2 linked regions of the Xenopus tropicalis genome follow. The protein of the gene in region 2 binds, or shares a complex with, the protein of the main gene of each other region. Links are inferred from orthologs where the notes say so. Each region holds a gene or a part of one and is shown on either strand. Other genes may lie near its edges.

The links.
Region 1: med19 (region 2) and med7 share a complex: the UniProt entries of both Homo sapiens proteins name them as parts of the mediator complex. The link is inferred for Xenopus tropicalis from reciprocal best matches to the Homo sapiens genes MED19 and MED7.

What each region holds. Positions count from the first base shown.
Region 1 is NC_030679.2:14,184,022-14,188,265, forward strand, and holds med7 (mediator of RNA polymerase II transcription subunit 7), read left to right. Parts: upstream 1-1,469; 5' UTR 1,470-1,500; coding exon 1,501-2,190; 3' UTR 2,191-2,837; downstream 2,838-4,244. UniProt on the Homo sapiens protein: Component of the Mediator complex, a coactivator involved in the regulated transcription of nearly all RNA polymerase II-dependent genes.
Region 2 is NC_030683.2:55,877,502-55,882,214, forward strand, and holds part of med19 (mediator of RNA polymerase II transcription subunit 19), read left to right. Parts: intron 1-1,037; coding exon 1,038-1,171; intron 1,172-4,713. UniProt on the Homo sapiens protein: Component of the Mediator complex, a coactivator involved in the regulated transcription of nearly all RNA polymerase II-dependent genes.

The DNA.
Region 1 (4,244 bases), on a different chromosome or scaffold from region 2:
GCATTAAGTCCCTGTGTGTGCAGTATACATATATATATATATATATATATATATATATAATACCTTTCGGTCCACACTCCCATTAAACACACTTACTCCATACTTGATTGCAGGGTGCTGCACCTGGTTGTAGCTTGTATTCATTACAATTGATGATGCGCACTCCTGTATTTTTTTTAGTTCATTTATTGTTACATTATAAAGTTAAAAACATCAACGTTTCGGACCAGGTCTAGGACCTTTATCAAGATGTTAAGCCATAAAAAGTCACACACATAATGAGTCTTTATATAATACAAAATGCCTAACCCCGCCCACATTGAGCAGAGCCCCAACCCCAAATTGTGAATTAAAGAAAACACATCAGTACAATTAATTAATTGTAATAGTGTTTATTAATTGTACTGATATGTTTTCTTTAATTCACAATTTGTGTATTTTATTACATTAACATTTATTTATAAAGCGCCAACATATTCCGCAGCGCTGTACAATAAGTGGGTTACATACATTGGACATACAGAGTAACATATAAAGCAATCAATAACCAATACAAGAGGTGAAGAGAGCCCTGCCCAAAAGAGCTTACAATCTACAAGGAGAAAGGGTTGAGACACAAGGTGTGGGAATGGGCATGGCCAGAGTTGTGAGAGGTGTGGCACAGGGTATTGCTAAACTAGATTAGGGTAAGCCTCTCTAAATAAGTGTGTTTTTAGAGATCTCTTGAAGGCAGAGAGATTGGGAGAAAGTCTGACAGTTTGTGGGAGCGAATTCCAGAGAAGGGGGGCAGCCCTTGCAAAGTCTTGAATGCGAGCGTGTGAGGAGGGAATGAGAGAGGAGTTGAGGAGCAGGTCAGTATGTGCTATACAGGATACCTCGTTTCGTACGATAATCGGTGCGTGTATGGCATGTCGGCGAGTCGACCGATATCGCAGGAATCTGCTGATATCGGCCGACTCGCCGATCGGACCAGTTTGAAAATTTTGATCGGGCGCCATAGAAGGCGCCTGACCAAAATTCTCCCTTCAGAGCTGAATCGGCAGAAGGAGGTAAAAATCCTATTGTTTCTACCTTCTTACCTGCCGATTCAGCCTTGAAAGGTGTGTGGCGGATCTGACAATGTTTCGTGCGACCGATGGTCGTACGAAACATCGTCAGATCGCCACGTGTATGGCCAGCTTAAGGGTTGTGAAATGGGGTTGGGGCTATGCTCAATGTGGGCGGGGTTAGGCATTTTGTATTATATAAAGACTCATTATGTGTGTGACTTTTTATGGCTTAACATCTTGATAAAGGTCCTAGACCTGGACCGAAACGTTGATGTTTTTAACTTTATAATGTAACAATAAATGAACTAAAAAAATACAGGAGTGCGCATCATCAATTGGAATGCATATATATATATATATGTGCTGCACACACAGGGATTTATATTGTTATTTGTATGTAACTGAATGGGCTTTTTCTTTCTGTGTCACAGGTTCTCCTACTCACTTCATAATGGGGGAGCCTCAGCAGGTCAGCGCTTTGCCTATACCTCCCATGCAGTACATTAAGGAGTACACAGATGAAAACATCCGCAAGGGCCTGGCCCCCAAGCCTCCCCTCCCCATAAAGGACAGCTACATGATGTTTGGCAACCAGTTTCAGTGTGATGACCTTATTATCCGCCCTCTGGAAACTCAGGGCATCGAGAGGCTCCACCCCATGCAGTTCGACCATAAGAAGGAGCTGAGGAAGCTCCTTATGTCCATCCTGGTCAACTTTCTGGATATGTTGGACATCCTGATCCGAAGCCCAGGCAGCATCCGAAGGGAGGAGAAACTGGAGGACCTAAAGTTGTTATTTGTTCACATGCACCACCTTATTAATGAGTACAGGCCCCACCAGGCACGTGAGACCCTGCGGGTGATGATGGAGGTGCAGAAACGTCAGCGGCTGGAAACGGCAGAGAGGTTCCAGAAACATCTAGAGCGAGTGGTGGAGATGATCCAGAACTGTCTGGCATCGCTACCCAATGACCTCCCTCTTTCTGATGGCGCAGTCAGTGTAAAAACTGAACCAATGGATGTTCGGGAACCCTGTACGGACCATCATGCGGGGCCCCAGGAGGCAGCAGCAGCTTCTCTGAAAGAGACCACAATTGATAAGGATGCAGCTATGTGTGTTATCATCGATGAAATGACCTAGTCCAATAAGCAGTTCTAATCAGGACTCTTGAACTTTAGAAGTCACAAGGATTCATTGAAATGCAATAGCATGGCTCTATGTGTTGGTTGTATTCATCATGGGACTTGGCAAGGAAAATGTTTGTCCCAAGGGAACTCAGTCACAGCTATTGCTCATGTACATGTCTGTTTATTGTGCTTTTCTGCCATGCTTTTGAAAAGGCAGTATGCAAGAAGGCTAATATTTTTCAGTGTTTTCCCTGCCAGTTCATGTGTATGAGGAATGGAAGGTTGTAGTTCTGCAACACCTGGGTGGTAACTGCTTATTTGTGATTAAACAGACAAAGGACTGGGGTCAGACTTTTGAATGTTATCTAACTGATATACTATGTATGGAATCTACTCATTGCAAGTTATGTTTGTACAGTTATTCACATGTTCTGAGATATCAAAGTTTATTTAAAAGTTAATATTACAATTGTTTGTATCTTTTTCTCTCTGAATTGGAATATTTTAGTCTCAGATTGGTTTGGAGCATGAAAATCCCAAAATGGGTGCTGTTATCTGTTATAGGAGAAGTCCATATTTTGAAATGCTCGCCTTTACAGTTTATCATGTTTATTTACTTTAATATTTGTATTACTGCATTATAGTTTTAACCCTCTGTCACTTCTAGCATCTTTCCTATTAATTATCCACCTCCATTAAGGATGCTGTGTGCATTCACATTACATGCAAGCTTTCTATCTCCCCTGTGTCAGCCTTTGTGACAAAGCAAGGGTTAAATGACTGTGCTTAGGTTGGGATCAAATTCATGAATGGTAGCAATGAATATACATTTTATCATGATAGGAGGATGCTATGCTGCACTGTAAATAACAACACACTGTGAGCACTAAGGTGCAGGGACAAGAGCTGCTATACAGAAACAAAAACATGAGTACCAGGATCTGTGCATTTACAACATTCCATCCTCATTCTGATTGGTAGAATGGATATGTTTAAGTAAGCTCCACCCTGCAGTCTACAGATGCTGGCCAAAATATTTGGAAGGTAAACTTGTTGGCTGCCCCAGCCAGTTGTTATTTTCAGAAGGGTGGTGCTGTGGGCACCTAGGCCTTATTTCCTAAGGAGGTTGGTGAGATTACAGGAATCCCCATCAGTTGCAGGACAGGTGGCACTTACCAGCCTCTTTCTCATGGTCAGACCCCTGTACCTGTAGAAAAAAAAATACAACAAAAGGAGGAGGGCTGTGAAGCAAAATTTTTAGATCCTGCTACCCTTTAATATCTGTAGTTCATAGGAGCCAACTATGACTGCTTCAACAAAGGCTCCATATAGACAAGTGGGGTCATTTATAAACACTGGGCAAATTGACAGCTGGGCAGTAACCCATAGCAACCAATCAGATTGTTCAACTTGCAGCTGGCTGAAAAAAACTGTTCACTGATTGGTTGCTATGGGTTACAGCCCAAGTGCATATGTGCCCAGTGTTTATAAATGCACCTGAGGAAGGCTGTTTAGCCGAAACATGTAGTGCTTAAAGATGTCTCATTAAAACTACACTGCTTCACTGCAAATAAGCGTACTCTCCAGGTTTTTGTAAATTTATTTATAAATGAGCCCCAAGTGGTTTAGATCTGCTCGCTGTGCTTCCCCCCCCCTCCCCAGTGCAGTGGGTGTCTCACGCTGCTTCATATTTCATACCCATGCAGCACAATCTCATGTAGTTGCGCGCCGTGATGAGTCATGTAATCAGAGGCCTATCAGGTGCAAGCAGATTTGTCAAAAATGGTGGCCGCTTTCCCAAGAGAGGTAGCCAAATTAGCTGGGTGTTGCATACATTCATATAAAGGGCAACTATACCTAATTTGTTTACATTCAGATTTTTTCTTTATATGTTTAGAACTGGACTTCAAAAAAAACGGTAATGATTCTAGAACAGCTGCCTCCTTTAGCATTTAGACCCCACATCCAGCCTGTAAATTTTTGCAACATAAGCACCTTGTTCACCTCTCATTCAGCCTTTGCAATGACCCCTTCCCCATTCACGTTTATTTACTGTCCTGCTTATTC
Region 2 (4,713 bases):
AACTTGCTTCCTTAAAGGACAACTAAAGGTAAAAAAAAATTAAAGGTGCAATCAGGTGAACATATACTTACTGTTAATGATTAATTCTAGTGTTCATTGGTTTCTGCACAGTGCTCCTTCATTTGCTAAAAAAACTTTCTACCTGTAGTACAATGCACAGAAAGCTTCTCTTTCTTAATGAAGTTTATTTTTGGCGCACGCATGCGCATTCCTTTCTTAATGCGCCCCAAACATGCGCAGTAGCCAGCTTTCAGTCCCCTGCTGTATTGATGACGCTTGGGTCACATGACATTCCCGAGCCTTATCATTGACCTCTCTGCCCCTCCTGTCGGCTCGCATCGCCAATCACAGTTACGCTTCTGCACAGAGCATTACTATAGCAACACCCTGAACAGAAGCGACTGAGGTCTGTACTAATCCTGCATAACTAATTGTTTACATTATCTACTGGGAGAGCGTGTGTGGGGTCACTAGGAGGTGCATGTGCAGTATGAAGCATAGACAGAGGGAAGTGACGTGGTCTCAAATAAATAAAATGGCGGCCACAAACTCTGGAAAGAAGCCGAACTTCTATGCATTGGTGCGATAATTATGTAATTATATTTAAAAAAATAAAACAGCGTTTCAGGAGGGGGCTTCTAAGGAACATTTTAGTGTAGTTGATTGAAAACTGCTTTCTTTCTTCTTTAAGTTCTCTGGCTTTGCTTTATGTACTACAAAAGGACACATTTTAGTCTGCTTTTACCTTTTTTATCCGTTCATTTAGCCCCATAGGGAAATGACCAAACTGTAGATTTTATATAGATAAAGATATATATATATATATATTTATATTTACATTTTGGTCCCATAGCAAATTGACCAAACTAAGGCCTGTGGCCTTGTTCTTTTATATCCTCATCCTTGACTGAAATAATAATTTGTAAGTAAAATAAAAATTAACAAATAAAATAGCAATGTTATAGTTTGGACTAGAAAGCAGAGTATGTAATAAAACTAATTAACGAAAGTGGCATTTCTGTGTCTACTTTTTGTAGGTATGATTGATACTCCAGGCGCTCAGGATAACAGCAGTCTACGTTCACTGATTGAAAAGCCACCGATCTGTGGAAACTCCTTCACTCCACTAACAGGTGCCTTGTTGACTGGATTCAGACTGCACACTGGACCAGTGAGTATAATGTTTTTTTTTTTTTTGGTGCTCAGGGAATAACAGACAAAAAGGGTGGGGGGAATAAAGCATTAGTTAGGTAACATAAACCAATTAATAAATATTTTTATGAATAGTTTATTTAGATAAAACTGGGTTTTACATATAGGCTGTTTTTATTCAACATATATTTATTTATTTTTTTATAGAGATGCACATTGTTCAGGTATATAGTTTTCTTTATACTTGCTTTGGCCAGGCAGTACCTACAAAGCTTTGGTATGATGCAAAATTTTTTAATCTAATATATAGTGATAATAGTTACTTCAACATTTTATATAATTATTGTGATAATAGTCTTTAACTTTTAGACACTTTTTGTGCAGAGTTCTTAAAATCTGACTACTTGCTAAACAGTCAGATATTAATTGTAGTAGAAAAGGTAGTTTCCAGTTAAGGAAAATGGCAGTGACCGTACATTTTGTTGCCTGTGCTACTGTGGGTGACAAAACTTCCCATCAGCAGTAATATGTAACACCAGTGGGGGGAAAACGTGTTGCTTACGCTTTCTAAAGTAGCCCAAAGTTGCCTCATGAGGTAAATTCAGGCTACTTTGCAACTCTGTACAGAATCATCATTTCAGTATACAATAGCAATACAAGCACTGTCTATTCTCATGTGGCCTTGCCAACATGGGTGGATTTCTTTTTTTAAAGGAACTGTAACACAATTTTTTTCCCTTCAAAATATCCTTTCTATACACTTTGATTATTAAATAAATCATATAGAAATTTCCATAGCAGTTGTGTTTTTTTACGTCTCTGATTTCCTCTCCATGCCCCATCTGCTAATAGCGAAAAATCACTCAAAATAGACTCTGAAGAATGCAGCATATTAACTTCCAGATTAAACCGAAAGTCTAGCAGTTACCGGATTGCCTTTTCAAGCTCTGCACAGTAAAGCATTGGTAATGTAATTTATTCTGAAATCACGTAGAATATTGCATTTTTTTAAATGCTACATATCTTAATAAAGTATTTAGAAGGGACATGTTAAAAGTTATTTTTTGTGTTACTGTTCCTTTAAAGAGATATTGACGCTTAAAATAAAACTGTCTTTTAAATAAATCATTACATTGTCTGTGAATCATCTTTATAATTTTGCCAAAACATAATTCCTGATGCTTTTACATTACCTATCTGATCCCCATGTTCCTCTATCAGGGGGCATTTGTGCAGCAGAAGTCCGTTAGCATTAGAAGCTATAACTGACAGGTTGAAAAGGAACAGTCAGGTTCAGGAACTTTAAGTAACACTTACTTACAAAAGGAGCCCTATCGGTGAAAAATGGTCAAAATGACCCATAGGCAACTTTTTATATACATTAATATTTTCAAAAGTAGTTTTTTCATGTCAGTATCACTTTGAGGTTTTGGGAGATTACGCCCCCTCTAAACCTGCCAGTCAATAATAATCAAAAGTGACAAAAAAAAATTCTGACCTCTTGCCTGTACCTGCTGTTCCTCAGCAGGAATATCTCTTCCAAGACATAAGAGGCCTGCTCACTAGATCTCCCTGACTGTACACAGAGAAACAGCTGCCAGGGTAACTGTACAGACAAGAACCAAGTATCCTCTACCTAGTGGGGCAATGCCAAAATGTGAAAAATATTTCACCTGACAAATACCCTCTCGATGACAGAAATGGCTATTTTTATGCAGCGCTGCTGGGGTTACCTGTCAGGTGAGACACCAGTGGGGGAGGGGGGGCACACCACAATGTTTTTGGGAAAAATGTGCCACAGTCACAGTTTCGTCACATGTAATAAGGGCAAGATGCACACTTCCCTCTCATTAAAGCACTTGTGTTTTAAAGGAGAAGGAAAGGTAAAAACTAAGTAAGCTTTTTCAGAAAGGTCTATGTAAATAAAGCCATAAGCACTCACAGAAAAGCTGCACTCTATCAAAAGAAACTGCGGATTTCTTGTCTCCTTTTTTGTAAACATGTTCTTGGGGTATCTGATTTCTTCTCAGAAAAATCCTTCATTCTAGGTGCCAGTGTCTGCGCAGTTCTCTCATTTCTCCCCTCTCCTCCTCCCCCCTTCCATAAGAATTCATAAAACTCACTCCTCCTACCCTGGATGCGTAGTGTGACGTTACATGAATTGTGTACTTTACGTTAAAACATATGCAACCATTGTATCAAGCAATGACAAGGCAGAGCAGTGTGAAGGGTTTAAAATTGGGGCAAACTCCCGTGACCCCCAATAAATTGTCTGACTTCACCTGGACCCCTGAGCAGTTACAGAGGGGTTCAGTGTAAACTGTTGTGATACTGCCGGGGTAATCCCTCTGTTTAGGGATGGTTTTTCCAGGCATGCATAAATGTCCTCTTTCACACCTCTTTAAAACCATCTGTCCTCTCTGTCCAAAATATGCACATCACCGTCCTCAAGAGTGTCCTTTTTCCTTGAGGTGTAAATAGACTGTTGAGTCTTGTCCTGAGGAGTTAGCCCTCCTATGTTGGGCCATTCTCTTACAGAGAGGTTGTTTTGTCTCCCCAGTGTATATGTCAGAGCACTCTTCACTGCACTGCACTGGACAGCATAGACCAGTATTCAGACTTAGGTCCAGTAAGGAACAAACGTGTTCTGGGTTCAGCTTTGTTCTGCTGCTGAGGGGGGGGTGTCTTGTTTCAGCCGTTTCCTCACTGTTTCAATTGCCTCGGTAGTGGGTATGCATGTGAACAGAGATGTAACATCAGAGGACACCATTGTTTCATTGATATCCAGATTTAACTCCTGGACTTTTTTGACAAAGTCCATGGAGCTCTGAATGTGGTGTACTATGTTTCCAACTAAGGGAGCTAAGATGTTAGCCTGAGGAACATTGCTAAATTTGTGGCCAACTCCTCAGGACAAGACTCGGCAGTCTATTTACACCTCAAGGAAAAAAAGACTTAATTCTGCTAAATACTGTACATACCGAAGTTGTTTTTAAACTATCAAAATGTATTCAAACATCTGTTAACCCTTTCACTGCCAGGGGTTTTGGACAAAGCGGAACTTGTACTGCCAGACAGTTTTTGAACATTTTGCACTGTTTCACTTTAGGGGCCTTTCCTCGGGGGGACTTTTAGTTTACCCAGGAAAACAATACATTGTTTTTTTCAGGACAACCTAAGCTTTCAAAATATGGTAGAGTTTTGGTGTAATTCCAATATGTATAGGTTTACCTAAGTATGTGGCATGTAGGGGCCCCAATGTGAACATACCCCCATATGATCTATCATTTCTGTCATTTCAGCTCCAGCAAAATCAACACATTTACATCATTATATGTGGGATAAAGCTAGTAAAAAGTACGCTCACCCCAGAAAGTCATATATTTTTGGAAAGTACACATTCCCCCGAATCTAAAATGGATACCCATGTTTTTCTACTCCAAAGTACCAAGCTGCAAAGCTTTTCTAAAGTTAGAAATTTTTTCCAAAAATCCCCTCAAAGCTTCCACTTTGCAGAACCTTATCTCCCGCATATCATTAGATACCAAGATAAAACACCCT